3 linked regions of the Coturnix japonica genome follow. The protein of the gene in region 2 purifies or fractionates together with the protein of the main gene of each other region. This does not show direct contact. Links are inferred from orthologs where the notes say so. Each region holds a gene or a part of one and is shown on either strand. Other genes may lie near its edges. The genes, in order: SPAG5, MYCBP and ARFGEF1.

Region 1 (6,274 bases), on a different chromosome or scaffold from region 2:
CACCCACGCCCCAGGGTGTGCAAAACCAGCACTACTGAGCTCCCCAACCTGAATTACTGAACTCAACCAGAGCTGCTTTGCCTCAAGCTGTGCCCCCATCCCCCCTATGCATGCACTGAGCCCAACCCCAAGGGTTCGGGTATAGCAGGGATGAGCACAAAGCCATACTGCAGGCTCTGGTGGGCTTCCAGCAGCTCCTGGTGCTGCAAGCTGCGCTCCTGCAGCTCAGCCAGCGTGGATTTCAGCTTGGCTTCCACCTCCATCAGCTGCCTGCGGGACATGCGGTTCTCCTGGTCCAGAAACTGCGGGATAGGATTGAGACGGGGTTAAAACACACACAGCCATGAGCACCCCCTGCGTGGTCCCATTCAACCACGGGGCAGCACATGACACACACAGCTGGGGGAATCACCCTGAGCATCACTGTGCGTACAGCCCTACGTGCAGCCTGGCAGCACCGCGAGCTGCTGCTGGATGGCTGCCACCTGCCATTAGGGACATGTGATGCTGCACCACGTGCCCTGGCTCTCACCTCCCTGCACTCCACTGCTTCCTGCAGCTCCCTGCGCTCCCGCTGCAAAGCATCGCGCTCCTTGCTCAGCCTGACACCAAGGGAGGAGATAAGCTCCAAGGCGTGGAGATAAGCCACAGGGCGGGGGGACACCCCAAGGGATAGATGGGGGTGCTGAGAGGGGACATGCACACAGACCTGCTCATCTGCTCCTTCTGTTCCTCGTAGTCCTGCAGCAGCGTGTCCTGCTCCTGCTGCAGGCTGGCCAGCTGCTTCATCACCATGCTCAGATCTGGAGGGGGGAAGAGCTGTGAGCACAGGAACACCCCACACCCCGCTGCCACCCCCTTATAACTCTGCCCTCCTCCCCCATCACCACCTGTGCTGAGCCGTGAGTTGGTGACTGCCAGCTGCTCCCCCTGCGTCATCGCATCCTGCAGAGCCTCCAGGGTCTTCTCCAGCTGTTGGGACACCTGCAGAGATGTGGGGTTAACACAGAGCATCCCACACCCTCCATTCCCCATATCCTCCATAGGTCAGCCCCCACAAATCCCTTTCCTTATTGATCCCTGAGGTGCACTGGGTGGCCCCATTACCTCCTCCTTGGCTTGGAGAGCTTCCTCCACCCGTTGCATTGCAGCATCCCGCTCCTGCATACAGCTGTGCAGCTTAGTGGAGACATCCCGCAGCGCAGCCGTGCAGCGAGACACCAGGGCACGGACCTGCTCCCGCTGTAAGGGACAGGGACAGGGGCAGCCTTAGGCTGAGCAGTGGTGACATGGGTGACACCCAGTGTTGGGACATTGGGACAGCCCTCACCTCCCCATCCAGAGCTCCACGCTCCTCCTGCAGGTTGGCAAAGGTCACGTCTATGAATTGCCGGAAGGGCTGAGCCTCTGCAGCCAGGGACACCTAGAGAGGAAAGCAAGGAGTGAAAGCAAGGAGGGATCCCATAGGGAGCACAGCCCTGAGTCAGGACTCTCATACCATGCAGGGTTTGGGGTCATGCTATACCTGCTGCTGGATGGCAGCTGCCAGCAGCGTGCTCAGCTCCTGCAGCAGCTCCAGGCTCTGCGTGCGGGCACCGATCTGGGCAGCAGCGTGGGAGCGAAACGCCTCCAGGAATCCATCACCCTGCAGAAAGGGGGGGCACAGCTCAAGGCTCATCACACCCCCCCATCTGTAGGTGGGGACAGCAGCGTCCCAGTGTGGGACACGTTACCTCCTGCTTAGCACGAAGGGCTTCGTCTGCTCTGTGCTGTGCAGCATCCCGCTCCTGCAGGCAGCTCCGCAGCTTGGCAGGGACAGCACGGAGCAGCACGTTGCACCGGGACACCATGGCATGAACCTGCAGCCGCTGCAATGGGACAGCAGCCCTCCTCATCCAGCTGCCACCCCCCTCAGCCACATCCCTGCATCCCCCCATACCCACCTGCTGCTCCAGCACCGCGTGGTCACCCCGTACATCCTGCAGGGCAGCATCTGCCACCTCCTGCAGCACACGACGCCGCTCGGCCCATGCGTCCTGAGGGAGGAATGAGGACAATGATGGCACCACCCAAACCCCATACAGACCCCATACAGACCCCATACAGACCATGGCCTCCACTGCTCGTGCCAGCTGCTGTGCCAGCTCCAGCTCTGCCCCACGCTGCCGCTGCACAGCCTGCATCTTGTTCCGCAGCTCCACGTAGAGGCCGTGGTAGATCCCCTCCTCCTAAAGACAAGGCAGGATGTGCACCCCAATAGCAACCCCATACACACCCAGCACTCCATGCCACAGCAGGGTCTGATTCACAGCCCCTCCTGCATGTTGTAGGATGGGACACTCACCCCCCGGGGCCGGGTGACATCAGTCTGTGTGTGTGCATCCCTCTGTCCTGCTGGTCCCACAGTGGGCAGTGGGCACTGGGAGCCCTGCAGGTCCCGCAGCTGCAGTGACAGCGCCTCGATGATGATCAGGGTGCTCTCCAGCCTTCCCTCCAGCTCCGATCGGGGCAGCAAACGCAGCTGATCCCGGGAACAGCTGTGAACAGAGGGAACCCCAAAGGTTGGGGATGGGAACATGGCATGGGAACCCAACCCCATAAACAGCAGGGACACGTACTGCCACAGCAGAGAGTCGGTCTCAGCAGCGCTGTCCTTGGCATCGGCAGGCTTGGATGTGCCAGAGCTCCTCTCCTCTGGGGTCATGGTGGTGCCCATAGACACGGTGGGCACTGGGGTGATACTGGTCCCCATAGACATAGTGGGCACTGGGGTGACAGTGGTGCCCATAGACATAGTGAGCACTGGGGTGACACTGGTGCCCAGAGACATAGTGGGCACTGGGGTGATATTGGTGCCCATAGACATTGTGGGCACTGGGGTGATACTGGTGCCCATAGACATAGTGGGCACTGGGGTGATACTGGTGCCAATGGATCCAGTGGGTACTGGGGTGACATTAGTGGCAGTGGTTCCACAGGGCACCGGGCTGACATTGGTGGCAATGGTTCCGGTGGGCACTGGGGTGACATTGGTGCCTGTGGCCGTGGTTGGCACTGGGGTGACACTGCTTCCTACAGGTACGGTGGGCACTGGGGTTACAGTGGTACCCATAGATACGGTGGGCACTGGGGTGACAGTGGTACCCATAGATATAGTGGGCACTGGGGTGACAGCGGTACCCATAGCTACAGTGGGCACTGGGGTGATGCTGGTGGCAGCATCCTGCCATGACACAGACAAGGGCAGGCTGCGCCGTATGGATTCCAGCACAGACGAGGAGGGGAGGGTCCTCTCCAGCCACACGAGGGGGGCTAACCAGGACACAGCCCCCAGGGACGGCTCAGACAAAGACATTGGGGTGGGGGCTGCTGCTGCTGCTGCCCCTACAGGCTCTGAGCCCACTACCTCAGCCTGGGGGGAGCACTGCTCTGCTGGGGCAGGGCTTGGGGTTCCAGCCATCCCTAATGTGCTGGGATGTGGAGGAGAACCCACAGCCCCATCCTCAGACAGGGGCTGGGAAGAAACGGGGCTGCAAGAGAGATCAGGGGGGGCTGCTCGCCACCGATGGAACGGAGTGTGCTGTGGGGTGGAGGTACCGGGGGGGCCTGGAGAGGGGCTGCCGGGGGAGTCCAGAGTGCAGGGCCCTATAGAGGGGCTGCCAGCAGGGTCAGGACTATGCAGCTCCAAGGGGGGGATGCTGGGGGGGTCTGGAGAGGGAGGCAGTGGGGGGAGGAGGCTGGGGGAGAATGGGAAGAAGGGCAGCGGGGCTCTGCCAAGGGGCTGTGGGGGGGCCCTGCTGGGGGTCTCTGGGGGGGTGTCCTCTTGGGGAGTATCACCCGGGGGTAGCAGGGTGTCAGGCCCTGAGATGGTATCACCTGGGGGCTCGGGGGCATCTGTAACAAGGGCAACATGGCCAGAGGTCTCTGAGATGCTGATGAGGTCTGGGATGGCATTGCCTGAGGGCTCCGGGAGGGGCTTCAAGGAGCTGGGGGGCTTCACATCGATGCTGCAGGGGGGGCACGGGACAGCGGCTACGGGAAGAAACGGGGCGATACGGCCGGGGGGACATCGAGTGCAGGGTACAGGAGTGACGGCATCATGGTCCTGGAGAATGAAGGGGAGAGGAATCAGGGCAACAACCCCCACACACCTACTTCAGTGCCCCATAGACCCCATAGAGCTGCCCCATAGAACCCCCCATAGGGCCGCCCCATAGAGCTGCCCCATAGAGCTGCCCCATAGACCCCCTTAGAGCTGCCCCATAGAGACCCCATAGCTGCCCCATAGCTGCCCCATAGCTGCCCCATAGCTGCCCCATAGCTGCCCCATAGCTGCCCCATAGCTGCCCCATAGCGCCCCATAGCTGCCCCATAGACCCCCTTAGAGCCGCCCCACAGACCCCCTTACGCCTGCCCCATAGACCCCCTATAGCCCCCCATAGACCCCCTATAGCTGCCCCTCCTCCCATCCCATCCCCCCCCACCCCGACCTTGATCCTCATCCTGCGCATCAATGGGGTGATGTTGGTCCGCTCCGCTCCCGGCTGCAGCCGCAGCTCCTGCAGGGGGCGCCGTGGTGCCTGGGGAGCGGGTCAGAACCGGGTCAGAACCGGAACCACCCCCACCCCAACCGGTACCGAGCGAACGGCCCCGCATCCAACCGCCCCTAGAACCGCTACCGGGACCCATCCGTAGCGTCATAGCGGACTCTCAGCCCGATAAACAGCGGCTACGGGACCAGAACCGGAACCGGAACCGGGACCAGAACCGGGACCAGAACCGGGACCAACCCCCCCCCGTTCCCCCACTCACGCCATTGCCGCACGCTCCCGACATGGCCACGCTCCCGCTGCGCCGCTGCCCGCCGCCCATTTGAAAACACAGCGCGCTTCTGATTGGTCCAGAGATGGGGGCGGGGCTACGTCGGTTGTGGGCGGGGCTACGTGCGGAGTGGGCGTGGTTTGTAGTGTTGGCCACGCCCACTTGGCGGGAAATCACGGCGTGATGTGAGACCCTAAGGGGGGGGGGGTCTGTGTTGTTCACTGTTCACTTATGGGGCTTATGACCCACTTATGGGGCTGGGGACCCACTTATGGGGCTGGGGAGTCACTTATGGGGCGATTTGGGACCCCCAAACTCACTTATGGGGCAATTTGGGACCCACTTATGGGGTTTGGGACCCCCCAAACTCACTTATGGGGCGATTTTGACCCACTTATGGGGCGATTTGGGACCCACTTATGGGGCTGGATGTCACTTATGGGGGGGGTTCAGTGTTGGGTGGGGGGATTCTGTATTCGGTGGGGGGGTTCTAATGTTGGTTGGGGGGGGGGTTCTGTATTGGGTTGGTGGGTTCTATGTTGGGGGGGGGGTTCTATGTTGGGTTGGTGGGTTCTATGTTGGGTGGGGGGGTTCTATGTTGGTCTCAGCTCCGTGCATCCTCTGCCGTCAGTGCATGGCCCCACAGGAGACACCCACAGCGTTCCCGTCTGGTCTGGGTTTATTGCACCCGTGGGGCGAGGTACAGAGGGGGGGCGTGTCCCTGAGTGCTGCGGGGTCCCTCCGTGGTGGGGGGGTTCCCTCCAGCCCAGGCTCAGCCGGGCCAAGGCCGGTTCAATGGGGCAGTGAAGTCGCAGTCGAAGTCGTCGAAGGTGGCTGGGTCGGGCAGGGGCTGCTCGTTGGGGTGCGGGGCCACGGCCACGGGCACAGGGTCCTTCTGCAGCAGCTCGGCGTCAAAAGCCACCCCACGGAAAAAAGGGTGAGCCTGGAAGTGGTGGAGGTAGCGCAGGCGGCGAAGGGGGTTGTGGCACAGCAGCTGGTAACGGAGGGAGGATGGATGGTGAGCAACGAGGGGGGCAGCAGTGGGGACACTGAGCACAAGGGTTGGGGTCACCTCTGCCAGCAGTCGGCTCAGAGCAGGGCTGAGCGCGGGGGGGCTCACAAAGCTGCTCTCTTTGACACGCTCCAGCATGGCCACGTGGTCCCTGGCTGGTGGCACTGGAAACTGGGGGGGGGGCAAGGAGCAGGTTTAGGGTCTCCGTTTGGTGTCCTTAAGCCCATCATCACCCCACAGTGCTCACAGTGCTCACCTCCCCACTGGCCAGGGCAAAGAGCAGGACACCCAGGGACCACCAGTCGGCTGCGTGGCTGTATGGACCCCCGCTCAGCACCTCTGGGGCTGCGGGGATGAGGAGGTGAGTGGTGCCCCCAGCCATCCCCCTTTATCCCCCCACGCTGTGCCCTTACCCATGTACTGCAGGGTGCCACAGATGGT
Region 2 (6,274 bases):
CTATTGGTTGACAACGAAGCTTCTCGCAGCCGATGGAGGAGGTGCTGGGAGACGCTCCGGTCATATGACGGCGAGGGTGGGGACATGGGGCCGAGCCGATATATGGAGCCCCATATATACATAGATCAGCCCCTTCTCAGCCTGCACACACATGCTATACACTCTAATTTACCTCCTGCAATAGAGTTGGGGGTTGTTTTGCCTTTGAAACTCTTACACTGTGTTATTTCCTCTTTCAGCTCCTTCCTACACACACGGAAGTAAAATGACTGACCACAAATAGAGCTGCACACCCCCTGCTTGTCCTTATAGTTGAGATACCCACAGAGACACACAGCACTCACATAGAAGAAGCAGGAGTGCGGTTCACAATAAGCCCTTTATTAATAAAGCCAAGGTACGAAAGGAGAAACTACTGTTATTCATCACGCTTCTCTTCTTCAGGTGGTTCATATTGAGCCAGCTGTGGATTTAAAGAGAGGCAATCAGTTAGATGGGGCATCTTAAAAGACACAGGAGCAGCAGAGTTGGATGTTAATGTTCCATAGGGGTAAAGGGTGACCTCCTGTGGTAAAACCCAGCCACAGACCCATGCCAGGCCTCAATAACTAACACTATTTCCCCTCCTGCTTTGGAATGCCTGAATAGAAAAGCATTAGCTTCCCCCCAGCCCTGCTTTACAAAGCTCTTATGGAACCATATACACATTATCAGATAACAAATGGGACTGAATGATGAGATGGAGTTTCCCACTATCCCTTAATTTACTTATTTTGTTAGCAAAAACTGCATTTCAGAATACAAGTCTTCCATCAGAAGCTACATATAGGCAAGGAATGAGATAATATTCCCAAGGCCAAACCCTATAACATCATAATCAGTTATGGCAGTGAAAGTTAGCTGTATTATAAGTGCCAAAGCACCCTTATCAAACACAGAAGTACTTAGGAATACTAAAAAGACTTGAACACTAAATAGACTTTTACTTTGGATTTCAGTTTCTCATTCTCTTCCAGCACAGCTTCGTATTTCTCCTTCAGCTCTACCAGTTCCATACGAAGCGCCTCCATTTCTGGACTCTCAGGAGCTGAAGCTCCCAGGTGATGCTTCAAAAAGCTGATATTGTGATGTTAAGTATTTCCTCAGCTCAACAGGCTGCTTATAACAGCAAGAACCAACCCATAGAGGACAGAAAGGATACTCCAGTGCGCTGCTTGGTTTCTCTGGCTCTTCATATAAGGCCACTAACACTGCAAATACAAGACGAACAACCATTATAAGACATCCATGCAACTCTAGTTTCCAAAACACATACAGCAGACAGAATAAATACAAGTTGCACACCAAGCTCACAGCATGTTCAAGATTCTCACCTATATCCTTCATGTTAAGGACAGAGATCATCATCATAGTATCTTAGTCATGCACAAGGTGAAACAGAGCATCCTATACTTCAATGGGTGGGCAGAAGGGATTTCTTTGACCCACAGGGGACGATAGGGCTGACAATATCAGGACACGGGGAAATGGTTTTAAGTTAAAAGAGGGAAGATTTAGGTTGGATGTTAGGGGGAAGTTCTTCACTAGGAGAGTGGTTAGGCCCTGGAACAGGCTGCACAGGGAGGTTGTGGATGCCCCGTCCTTGGAGGTGTTCAAGGCCAGGTTGGACGGGGCCATGGGCAACCTGATCTATGGGGTCTCTATGGGGTCTCCTGGGCAACCTGATCTAGTAAAGGTGTATGTTTGGTGGCCCTGCCAGGCAGGGGGGTTGGAACTACATGATCCTTGAGGTCCCTTCCAACCCGGGTCATTCTGTGATTATGGAGCACAAAATGAATGACATAACACACACACACCCCACCATTCTGCTTTGATAAATGCTTCTCAAGGAGCTTAAGCGCCTCCCTCCCATTTTCAGCCACACAAACTGCACAGTTTTAAGCTAAACACTTAAAGTTAGAAGCCAAACTTGCTTGCTGCAGGGCTTGGAAGATTTGTTTTGCTTCCACATTGCAACAGCACAGCCACAGCCAGAGGAAATCAAAGGGCTCCAACACACCTGGGCTGAGCACAGAGCACACCCCTCACAGCTGCTACACCCCATAAGCAACGTGCTTTATTAAGTAGGAATATAACACCATGTTGAAAGGATCTTGAGAGCACAAAGGGATCATAGAATTATGCAGATTGGAAAAGACCTCAAAGATCATCAAGCCCAACCACAGCCTAACCAGAACCCTAAAACAACCCTACACTAAATCATACCCCTTAGCAATCATTTAAAGCACAGTGAGCCATAAGAAAGAGATAAATACGTTGAGCTTTCAACGTGCTTTTCTTTCCTATCCAGATAAGCACAGACACCTCCATTAAACCCCAGTATTAGGGGGCTGGCACAGCACATTCCCATTGCTCGGCCCCAACCCAACCCATACAGGCCTTCAATCCTCCTTACCCTTAGTGAGCGTATCCAACACCCCCGACTTCTCCAGGTAGCGCCGAAACTGCTCCCTCTTCGAATCCGCGGCCTGAAGGAGGACGCCCACACTGTCAGAGCACCGGCACATCCCTACCTACACACAGCTCGACCCCTCCCCACCACCAAGGGTTTGGGGGGTTATAAGGAAGGCCCCTCCACCCTCTCGGGCCCGCAGCCCCTACCTTGTGGTGCGCCATCTAACCCCGCAACGCCCGCACCGCCACCGCCCGCCTCTTATATGGCGGCCCCGGCTTCCTACCGTTGGCATGGCGACCCAACCGGAAGTCCCGGTCTCTATCTCTGCGACTAGGCCTTCCGGTTGTGGGAGGTTTGCGCATGCGCGGTGCTTGCAGGCTTCGGCCTGGCCCTGTATCTATACCTGTATCTATATAGATATGTTGGTCTATATGGCTGGCAATAAGAACCCATTCAGAGCCCTATATCTGCCCTTTGGGTTCCTTTCTAACCTTCCAGACTCTTGAGCTGCTACATACGAGCCCCTCAGTGCTGTCTCTTTGCTCTTTAAGCTGTGAAGTCAACACGTTTTTTGCTATAGAGGTGTCAAATGCAAATGGGGTATTCACATACACAGCATGGGGTTAAATGAGCATAATAGCACCTAAATATATCCAAAATGTCCAACCCTACATCTACACAGAGCTGAACGCACACACACTGAGAACACAAACAGCAGCTGCTGGAGAAACACCTGCAGTGAATGGATCTTCCACCTCATTTCATTTACTGGTCTCCATACAATAGATTCTGAGACTGTAATTTGTTCTTTTATGTTTATTGCTTACATATTACCAGCTATTGTAATCCCAGCTTCTCCTCCTGTGTGGCTTTGTATGTGGATTTATATGATGTATATGATGTATATGGTGTAAATGATGTATATGATGTATATGTTGTATATGATGTATATATGATGTAAATGATGTATATGGTGTATATGATGTATATGTTGTGTATGGTGTATATTATGTATATGGTGTATATTATGTATATGGTGTATATGATGTATATGTTCTCCTTAGCTGGAAGGTTAATGCAGAAGATTGGCACAGAGGTTGAAGCCATCCCTCCATCGCCAGCGAAGCAAGAAGTTACTGAGCTAAAAGCAAAGGGCTGAGCTTCTATCTTAACCTCTGCGGAAGAACTGGTTAAAGCTGAATGAGGAAGCTGCTCCTGGGCTGCTCTTATCACAAAGCCCAGCAGTTACCCAAGCACAGTGCTTGGGCAGCCATGCTATATCTGCAGGTCGGTGGGGGCTCTCCGGCTGCTTGCACTGCTTGACAGCGACAGCCGCCCTGATAAGGGCAGTGGTTGGGGGCTGCCACAGCCCCTGCTCTGCTTGGAGCCAGTGCTGGCCTCCCCTGCTGAATCAGGGGTGTTGGGGCGGCTGGGGTGCCGGGTGTCAGCTTTGGGGGGCAGTTGGCTTGCACTGAGGCTGCTCCGTCTCCTGCTGCTGCTCTTTGTAAGGGAGTTTGTGGAGGATCCAACACTCTCAGCTGCTGTGCAGCAGTTCCAGGAGGAGATGATTCCGTGCTGTCTTCTGAGGCTGGCAACAGGAAAAGGCTGCAGGGGAGGCTGCGACAGCATCTCAGCAAAGCTTCTCGAAGCTGTATCTGCATTCTGAGTACCAGCAAGGAGGTGTTTCTGATCAGCTTCTTTCTGCGAGTTCCTCCTTTCAGTCGCAGGTCTGCCCAGCAAACCTTCCCTGCACTCTGTGCTGGCATTCGGAGTCTGACCAGCTAAAGCATTCGTAGCTGGCCTTTTCTTGGGCAGTTTGTTTTCCTGGTTGTGCTGGGTGTAATTGCCTCTGTTTTCTGCGTGGTTGTTTTGAATGGGCTGGAAGATGGGAGCAGAGTTTAAGGCTGGGTAGATGGCAGTGTCTGTTTGCTTCTCCATTAAAAAGGCATAACCACCAAGTACAGAAGGGAGAGTTTTTGGAGGAGTTGCAGATATTCCCAGAGAAGAGCGGGGTATCACTGAGTATTTCTTGCATTTGTTTGTATAGAAATTCCCACGATCATCCTTGTTTTCCTCCTGCCCACACAGACCTATTTTAATCTTACGGAATCCAAGGTGGATAATCTCCAAGACATTTAAAAGCAATGATACGGTCGCTATTGACTGCATGAATAGGATGAATACTGTCTTTTCAGTTGGTCGTGATACAAAGCAGTCGACTACATTTGGACATGGATCTCTGTGACATTTATAAAGGGGATCCAGGCGAAACCCGTAAAGCAGATACTGCCCAATCATGAAACCAACTTCCACTGCAGACCTGGTGAAAATATGTATCACGTAAGTGCAGAGCAATGAACCTCGTAGGGGTGCTTTGTTCAGCTTCCTTTGGTCCAGCTGCCGGAGTTCCCTCTCCAGCCTTCTCCTGTATTCTGTCATTTCTAATTCAGTGCTTTCAAGTTCCACTCTCACCTGAACTTTCTTCTTCTGTCTCTCTTTCTCTAAGGCTCTTAGTCTGTATAAGGCATGACCCATATACACCAAAGAAGGAGAAGACACAAAGATAACTTGCAAGACCCAGTATCTTATGAGAGAGATGGGGAAGGCCTCATCATAGCATATATTGCTGCAGCCAGGTTGCTCTGTGTTGCAGATAAATTCTGACTGTTCATCATTCCAGACGTCCTCAGTGGCCACTCCAAGGACAAGCATTCGGAACACGAAGAGGATGGTTAGCCAAATCTTGCCAATAATAGTGGAGTGAATGTGAACCTCCTCCAGAATGCCTCCAAGGAAATTCCAGTCTCCCATGGTTATTGTGCCATCTTAACACTGGAACGTATGAGAGAGCAAGCATCAGATAACTGTAAAAGCTGCAGCCCTTCATTATAAAACGGATGACACCATCACACGGTGTCAATTGCAACATGACACTACTCGTTGGCACTGTAGGCATTATTATTCCTCAGCTATGAGGCAAAGTTGTCCACCTGTGTCTAATTTATCACTAATAGACACTCAGGCAAGGATGTAACTATGAGGTATGCAGCACCCCCAATGCATCTGAGTCAGTGAAAATACAGTGCCTGCCTCACAGCAGGACTGGACATGCAGGGATCTGCTTCCCCATCATCCAATAGATGCCACTGTGACAGTGGGATATTTATCTGTAGGATACCTGAGAAGGTATCTGCAGGCAAACAGAGAAAATACTTCCTGTCCCCTAGTGCTAAGCAAATAAACAACCCCCCGTCACCAGTCCAGTTCTGCTTCATGACACCTCTGTTTGAAGTACAGAACAGTATCCAAGCACCAAGTGCTGCTACCTTTGCCCACGAGCCTATGAGAAAATGAATGACTTGTGCAAAAAATTATCTGCTGGCTTCATAAACGGTTCTGTCTGTAGATATAACGTTACTTTGTTTGGACTTCAATCACATTAAAAGCAGCATAATCTGATTTTTTAGCATATAGGTCATTTGACACAGAGTTTTCAGTTCAAATGTGATTAGTTTTCGTGCTGTAAAACAAGAATGTTAAGGAAGTAAATGGATGTTAAATTCTTGTGGCTGCTCTGCCTCTGACTACAGAGGAAATGTTACATTAAGACCACAATTAAACACGAAAATACACTTTCAAACTGGCAGACAAAGAGGTGTCAGACATCATAAAAGAGAAACAAACTAAGATAAACAGCACATTAGAAACAAAACATACCTTTCTTTACAGAAAATGTGTAACATTAAGCTCTATGGTGTCCACTGACAAGCCCTGACATCTTCCATCCGTGTGTTGAACTGTTGATGTCCCCACCGGAGC
Region 3 (6,174 bases), on a different chromosome or scaffold from region 2:
GCTCTGGGCAGCCTGGTCTGATGGTTGGTGACCCTGCATATAGCAGGGGGGTTGAAACTGGATGATCATTGTGGTCCTTTTCAACCCAGGCCATTCTATGACTCTGATTCTCACCCGTGTTGCTCTTCTCCCCAGGTGCGGATGTAGCCCCAGGAGAAGCAGATGACCTGATGAAGCCCCCCCCCTCCAAAGACAGCCGCCCGCCCAGTTCTGCTGACTCCATCGCCACTGAGCCCTGGCTGCGACCGGGAACGGCTGCAACGCTCCACAGGTTCCTGACTGAGCAGCAGAGCCCGGCAAAGCTGCCTCCCGATGGTGCTCTGCCGCTGGGCTGGCAGGGCCTCTCCACCGCACACGGCTGAGCGCGGCCTGTGTGGAACCCACGTGTGCCTTGCAGCAAGGGAAGGAACGTCCTGTTCAGCACTACTGCACTTTTTGGGTCACTCCTAGGGACAGCTGTACTCAGTGTGAATAGTGTGGAGCTCTATGTCTAATTTCAAGTAGCAATAATGAAGAAACAGAAGCTGCAGTGTGGTGGGGACCCTCAGCGCAGGGTTCTGCACCGTGTGGCAGTGGCGCATTGAAGTACTTTGGCATTTCTTGCACTTTTTATACAAGTTGGTTTCGGCCTCAGAGGGGGATCTGCTGGGAACGGGGTGTGTGTGTGAATTTGATATTCAATCAGAGTTATGTTTTACCTTTGTTCGTAGCAAAACTCTTAAGAGTGTTTGTTTGCAAACAGTGACACAGCAGGGAGGTGCTGTTTGAGCTTTAAGAGTGAACAGCCTCGAGGGGGCACTTCCCCTTCTCAGTGCTGAACGTGTGCTGTTGTGGTGAGCTGTTAGATGGAAGAACTGTTAGCATTATATCTATCTTACCTTCCTAACCTGGTTTGTGTTGGAGATGCAGATAGTGCGATATATATATATTTATGTTTCTGATTTAAGAGGTCACAATAAATTATTTTGGTACTAAAATCAGCAGTAGTGGTGAGGTGCTGTCACTTCCCATCTCATGAAGGAAGGCCAATGACGGTGGTGCAGTGGTAGGAATGCCACGTTGCAACACCAGAGGCCCGGGTTCGAATCCCCCTGTGGCGCAAGTGGTAGAAGTGCCGCTCTGCTACACAGGGGCTCGAATCCCGGGGGTTGGACTCGATGATCTCTAAGGTCCCTTCCAACCCGCACGAGACTGTGATACTGTGAAGCAGGGGCTGCCCAGTCCCTCTTCAAAGCAGGAGAAACCCTGAGCAGCTCCACTCTCCTGCAGCATCCACAGCTTCCAGCACAACCCCATCCTCTCTTGCTTACAAGCAGTGGAGCTTTGGCAAAGGAAGGTATAAAACAAGTGCTGTGGCTTAGGCTGGTTTTGATTGCACTGATGAAAGAGTTCAAAAACTTTATTGACCTATAACCCGATTAGATTATGCCAGATGAGAACCAAATATTGTACAGAAAGTTGTACAGAATTTTTTTTTACATAGAAAACTTTACATATCTGTACCATATACATTTTGTCCATCTGAAAAAAATTTCTACATCCATTGTAATACAGAATGCTTTGACAATCTCGTCTGTTAACCATCAGAGCACAATTCACAGTATGAATACATCTCCAATAAATTGAACCATCCCCAAGCCATGCCCGATTTGTTACTCGAATATATTCCACGTTAAATTCTGTACATCAGAGTGAAATCTACATCAAACGAAAAAACAGGTGACAGCAGACACAACCTAGACTTGTTTGCGGTGATTCGCGTTCCAGTCCTTGAAGGATCGTCGTTTTGATGGCTCGTTATACTGAGAAGCCCTAAGACAAGTATATTACAGGTAGTTATGTCAGTCGTGGTACCTCTAACCTCTGCTCTCCACCAAAGTCAGCAACACCAACTGCTGGGCTACAACGAAACCGGAGAAAGAAACCACAGCCCCCCCCGCAACAGCCCCAAACCTGTAGTGCATCTGGTGAACAACCGAGTGCGCTGGGTTTCCAACAACTCAAAACCACAGAAAGAAAACAATTCAGGAAGAACTGTATAGTGTTAAAGAGTTTATATTACAGACCTGCATCTCTGTACATTTTCACAGGAGGATGATTTACCAATGTCTCAGTCAGCCTGAGTGTGCAAAAAAATCTTAGAATATCAGCCACGGGTGCTAATGAACCTTTCCCATGAGCGATAATCTCCTTTTTCTTTTCACTATAAACATCTGATCCTTCAAATACAGCTCTCCTGAGTTGTACTCGCAGAAGCTCAAACCTTTACATACCGAGTTCTTTGGCTACGTTCTCCTTCCACACCCGCCACCAACATCTGTTGCTCTACTGCTGCCTGGGATGGGAAAGGATGGCGCAGCCCACGCTGACGAGAGGACTGTGCTAAAAACTGGCTCTGTGCTCAGCACCAGCCAGGGCAGAGAAACCCACAGACAACCCATCAGGAAATAAAGAGACTGGAGTGTTGCAAGCCTTAATTACAGGTGTAAGCATCTGTACCATTCATCCTTAGATACAACGCTGCCGTACAAAGAAACCATTTCTATGGATGCCCAGACAGAACGGCTCCGCTCCCTGGTCCTTTTATTTAGCTGAGGAAGTTACACTTGTAAGGGAGCAATCCCCAGTCACTACGTGCTACTGCTTGCCTAGTGCAGCCTCGTGCTCTGCTGGTTGGGATATCTGAAAAACCACGCCAATCCGCAGGAAGAACCTTCGCAGAACAGCTCGGAGTTCAGGGATAAGGTCAAACTGCATGATTTCACACAAGAGAGGGTAGTAGAAGGAGGCGTGAGCCTTGAACTGAGGAGAAAACAAACAAACAGAGCAGGTTATTCCATAAGGCAGCAGCACAACTCAGAGAGCTGCGAGTGAAGGATTTCAAGTGCTCTCCTAAGGCAAGGTGAGAAATCCACACAGTGACAAGCTGAAGCATCACTGTAACAGAAGCTGGCAGTGCTGGGATAAGGCTAAGGCAGCTGTCAGATGCTCACTGGCTGCGTGCATATCTCTAACTCTTACACATCAACAGGAGGAATTTTGCCCTTATCCATTACATCTGAGGTAGGGGCTGGCCTCCCTCACTTAACACTTCAGCCAAGTTCTGCTAGAAATGGAGGGAGATCTAAATTCAGATCTATTTAATCTGGAACTGCTTTGGGAAAGGTCAAGGCAACATGGGAACCAAAACCAGGAGTTATTTCCAAGCAGTACCAGCCACTAACCCTTCTCCTCAGCAAGAGAGGCATAAAAACAACCTAAAACACATTTCTAAACGATTTTAGCATCTTTAAAAGATCCTCAGACAGTCAGCAGTCACTGTACCCCCATTCGGCACTGCAGTCATTGGTAACCACTACTCAGTTACACAGATTTCCACAACACACAACCCTACAGAGCAGCAGGAACCTCTGAAGCGAAGTGCATGGCTGCGTGCCAAGAGCTGCTGGTCTGAAATAATATTTAATGCAGCATTTATAAATACCTGAGGTGTGGGAGCCATAGTGGCAAGGCTGGACTCTTTTCAGTAGTGCGTGGGGACAGGACTAGGGGTAATGGGATGAAACTACAGCATAGGAAGTTCTGCACGAATGTGCGGAAGAACTTTACAGTGAGGGTGACGGAGCACTGGAACAGGCTGCCCAGGGAGGTGGTGGAGTCTCCTTCTCTAGAGATATTCAAGACCCACCTGGATGCCTACCTGTGTGACGTGGTGTAGGGAGCCTGCTTTGGCAGGGGGGTTGGACTCGATGATCTCTAGAGGTCCCTTCCAACCCCTACAATTCTGTGATTCTGTGATTTCAAGATGTTCCCATTACCTACCCTTTCATCACTTATCTTCAGAACCTTAGTCAAAAATAAGAGCAGCAGATTAGTCCAGGCCTCCCGATGGCTTTCGGATGTGAGAGTAAGAAAGTAACTCAGAGCCTCGCTGCAGACACTGGAGAGAGAAGACAGAAACCAGTAACTCACATTGTATTTTGAGCTCCTCTGCAGGGCGAGCTTTGGCTTTGTAATCAGCTACAACAGCACAGAGACCCAGCAAAGCACCACATCGCTCTGAGAAACCTCAGTATTGAACAGGATTATGAACTGTGATAGCAGTGTTTGCACATCCTACGTAAATGGTACCAAGTGCTCTCTGAGGGGTGTTGGAATGCAAGACTGAATGACACAATGGAGACAATCTCATGCTGATGCAAGAACAGAGTTTTTCATCTTTGCTCCTTGGTCTATCAAACCTTAAAATACCTCCATTCTTTCTCCAGCACAGTCTGAAGCCCTCTGTTGTTCTAACTCTGGCTTGAAGGACTTTGTAAACTAAGAACATTCAGGTGAATCTGAGTGGATTATAATAAATATTCAACAATGAAAAAACAACGTGCAAATAAACAAGCAAACCCAAACCAGCACACTCTTTAACAGACATAACAGCAACAGGTTCTGCTACATGGCCCTTACTTTAGCAGCCTTTGCTGGACTTCTTCCCATGCACTGGTTCGGCTCTCATCCATGTACATGCGGAACAGAATGCGTAACCCACAGGCAAGGCTGCTCGTCTCCTGTTTCAGAAGATTGGGCTTGGATTTGCCTTTAAAACCTAAAGAAATTCAAAGAATTCATTTAGGGTTTTGTGTGTTTCATTTTCATACCTCTCCTGAGCGTGCCCTGCATAACAGAGAGTTAACATTCGTTAACATATAACATACAATACATACAGACAGCAATAATACATGTTTATATAAATATATATTTCTAAGTGCTTATTTTGTAACGTATATTATGTATTTATAGATTAATAATGCTAATTTCAGTGCAAGGAATAGACTGAACTGCTTCGGTACAGAGATTCTATTTTCAACCCGTTCTGGAAAACACCACGTATTTCAAGAAGAGACCTGTTAGCCCCACAACCCTCCTAATGCTGTTTTGTACCTGCAGTTTTGCACCTACAGCCAGCATTTAACGTGGCAGCTGTGTACACCCAAATGCAGCCCATTACATCTTTGGAAATTCAAAAGGCATTTGCACCCGTATAACTGGGGCCTCCTCCACTTCGGGGTGTCTAAGGTTATAAAATTACAGCACCGCTGTATTTTTAGACCTTTTTTTCCTCATCAATTCAAAGCCCAGCAGCACGTTCTTGAAGAACCTCTCTCCACAGAGACTGACTGACTCACCCGCTTTCCAGAGAGCGGTTCTTTGTTCATTGTTGGAATTGAAGGCCTTAGCAAACCTGTGAGATTCCAGCAGGCAATCGAGGAGTTTGAAAAGCTGCTGTGATGTCAGAAAACGATACATCCCTTGATCTTGTGTATCCACGTGGACATCAAAATCTACTGCATCTCTCTTTTTGGGGAAAAGGAGAGGAAGATTTCAGGTCAGAACTGACAACTGCCTTCATTAAGCTCCTGTGACATCACAACCCTACCCTGTTCTTATCTGTGTCTGTACTTAAACTTAAAACTGTATGAAAAATCGCACCAGTATCCCAGGTTGGAGAGATCACTGAACAATAAACATCCCCATCTCCACAGTGTACCACAGAAGCACAGCAAACCCAATTGTACACAAGCTGTAAAAGATCTCAACAGTCTGCTGCACGTTCTCTAGAACTTCTAAAAGCTGTAAATTCCGAGTTCCAGGAGTTCATGAAACTTTATGCACTTGAGAAGAAGCTGCTAAAGAGAGAACACACCTGTACATTTCACTTACTTGTGCTGCCGCTAGATTCTCTGCATCCTCTTTTTTGCTGGTTGCAGGGAAGAACACAATGTTGTCGATAGTCTGAATGAGTTCCAGTTGTACAACGCACTTGATCAGAAGGGCAGCAAATAACTTCTGTTCTGGAAATTCTTTCAGAAAAGAAATTGGTGCTTAGCTTACAACACTACGGTATTATCTTAATTCTTAAAAGCTGAGACAAAAATGTAATCCAGGCCATTTTTTTCCAAGTGATGTTTCTTAAATTACAGTTGGAGCTATAACTAAAGACATCACCTGCTAAGCATGACTCAACTGATACAGGATACCAAACCACTCAGAAACACGCACTTGCTGTTGATCTGGCTTTGCTCACTTCTTCACTTCCCGTAGGCACTGCACTGGGTTGATGTGGGCGTCCATCTGAAGATCTCGGTTGAACAGTATCATGAATATCTACAGACTTCTGGG

Evidence for each region.
Region 1: the proteins of MYCBP (region 2) and SPAG5 purify together in Homo sapiens (co-immunoprecipitation; 3 studies listed by BioGRID and IntAct, with this or other methods). This does not show direct contact. The link is inferred for Coturnix japonica from reciprocal best matches to the Homo sapiens genes MYCBP and SPAG5.
Region 3: the proteins of MYCBP (region 2) and ARFGEF1 purify together in Homo sapiens (co-immunoprecipitation; 4 studies listed by BioGRID and IntAct, with this or other methods). This does not show direct contact. The link is inferred for Coturnix japonica from reciprocal best matches to the Homo sapiens genes MYCBP and ARFGEF1.

Annotation. Positions count from the first base shown.
Region 1 is NC_029534.1:4,532,942-4,539,215, forward strand, and holds the start of SPAG5 (sperm-associated antigen 5), read right to left. Parts: upstream 3,922-6,274; 5' UTR 3,461-3,921; coding exon 2,619-3,460; intron 2,538-2,618; coding exon 2,345-2,537; intron 2,229-2,344; coding exon 2,109-2,228; intron 2,037-2,108; coding exon 1,944-2,036; intron 1,869-1,943; coding exon 1,734-1,868; intron 1,646-1,733; coding exon 1,526-1,645; intron 1,424-1,525; coding exon 1,331-1,423; intron 1,243-1,330; coding exon 1,108-1,242; intron 985-1,107; coding exon 891-984; intron 804-890; coding exon 710-803; intron 603-709; coding exon 533-602; intron 303-532; coding exon 169-302; intron 1-168. Other genes in the region: RSKR (ribosomal protein S6 kinase-related protein), read right to left, coding at 5,594-6,004, 6,090-6,178, 6,247-6,274. UniProt on the Homo sapiens protein: Essential component of the mitotic spindle required for normal chromosome segregation and progression into anaphase. Required for chromosome alignment, normal timing of sister chromatid segregation, and maintenance of spindle pole architecture.
Region 2 is NC_029538.1:2,897,285-2,903,558, reverse strand, and holds MYCBP (C-Myc-binding protein), read right to left. Parts: upstream 2,771-6,274; 5' UTR 2,677-2,770; coding exon 2,662-2,676; intron 2,529-2,661; coding exon 2,456-2,528; intron 1,251-2,455; coding exon 1,202-1,250; intron 1,117-1,201; coding exon 987-1,116; intron 464-986; coding exon 419-463; 3' UTR 361-418; downstream 1-360. Other genes in the region: GJA9 (gap junction alpha-9 protein), read right to left, coding at 3,731-5,266. UniProt on the Homo sapiens protein: May control the transcriptional activity of MYC. Stimulates the activation of E box-dependent transcription by MYC.
Region 3 is NC_029517.1:104,481,232-104,487,405, forward strand, and holds the end of ARFGEF1 (brefeldin A-inhibited guanine nucleotide-exchange protein 1), read right to left. Parts: coding exon 6,055-6,174; intron 5,856-6,054; coding exon 5,716-5,855; intron 5,350-5,715; coding exon 5,181-5,349; intron 4,601-5,180; coding exon 4,462-4,600; intron 3,941-4,461; coding exon 3,823-3,940; intron 2,803-3,822; coding exon 2,638-2,802; 3' UTR 1,367-2,637; downstream 1-1,366. Other genes in the region: CSPP1 (centrosome and spindle pole-associated protein 1), read left to right, coding at 136-362. UniProt on the Homo sapiens protein: Promotes guanine-nucleotide exchange on ARF1 and ARF3. Promotes the activation of ARF1/ARF3 through replacement of GDP with GTP. Involved in vesicular trafficking.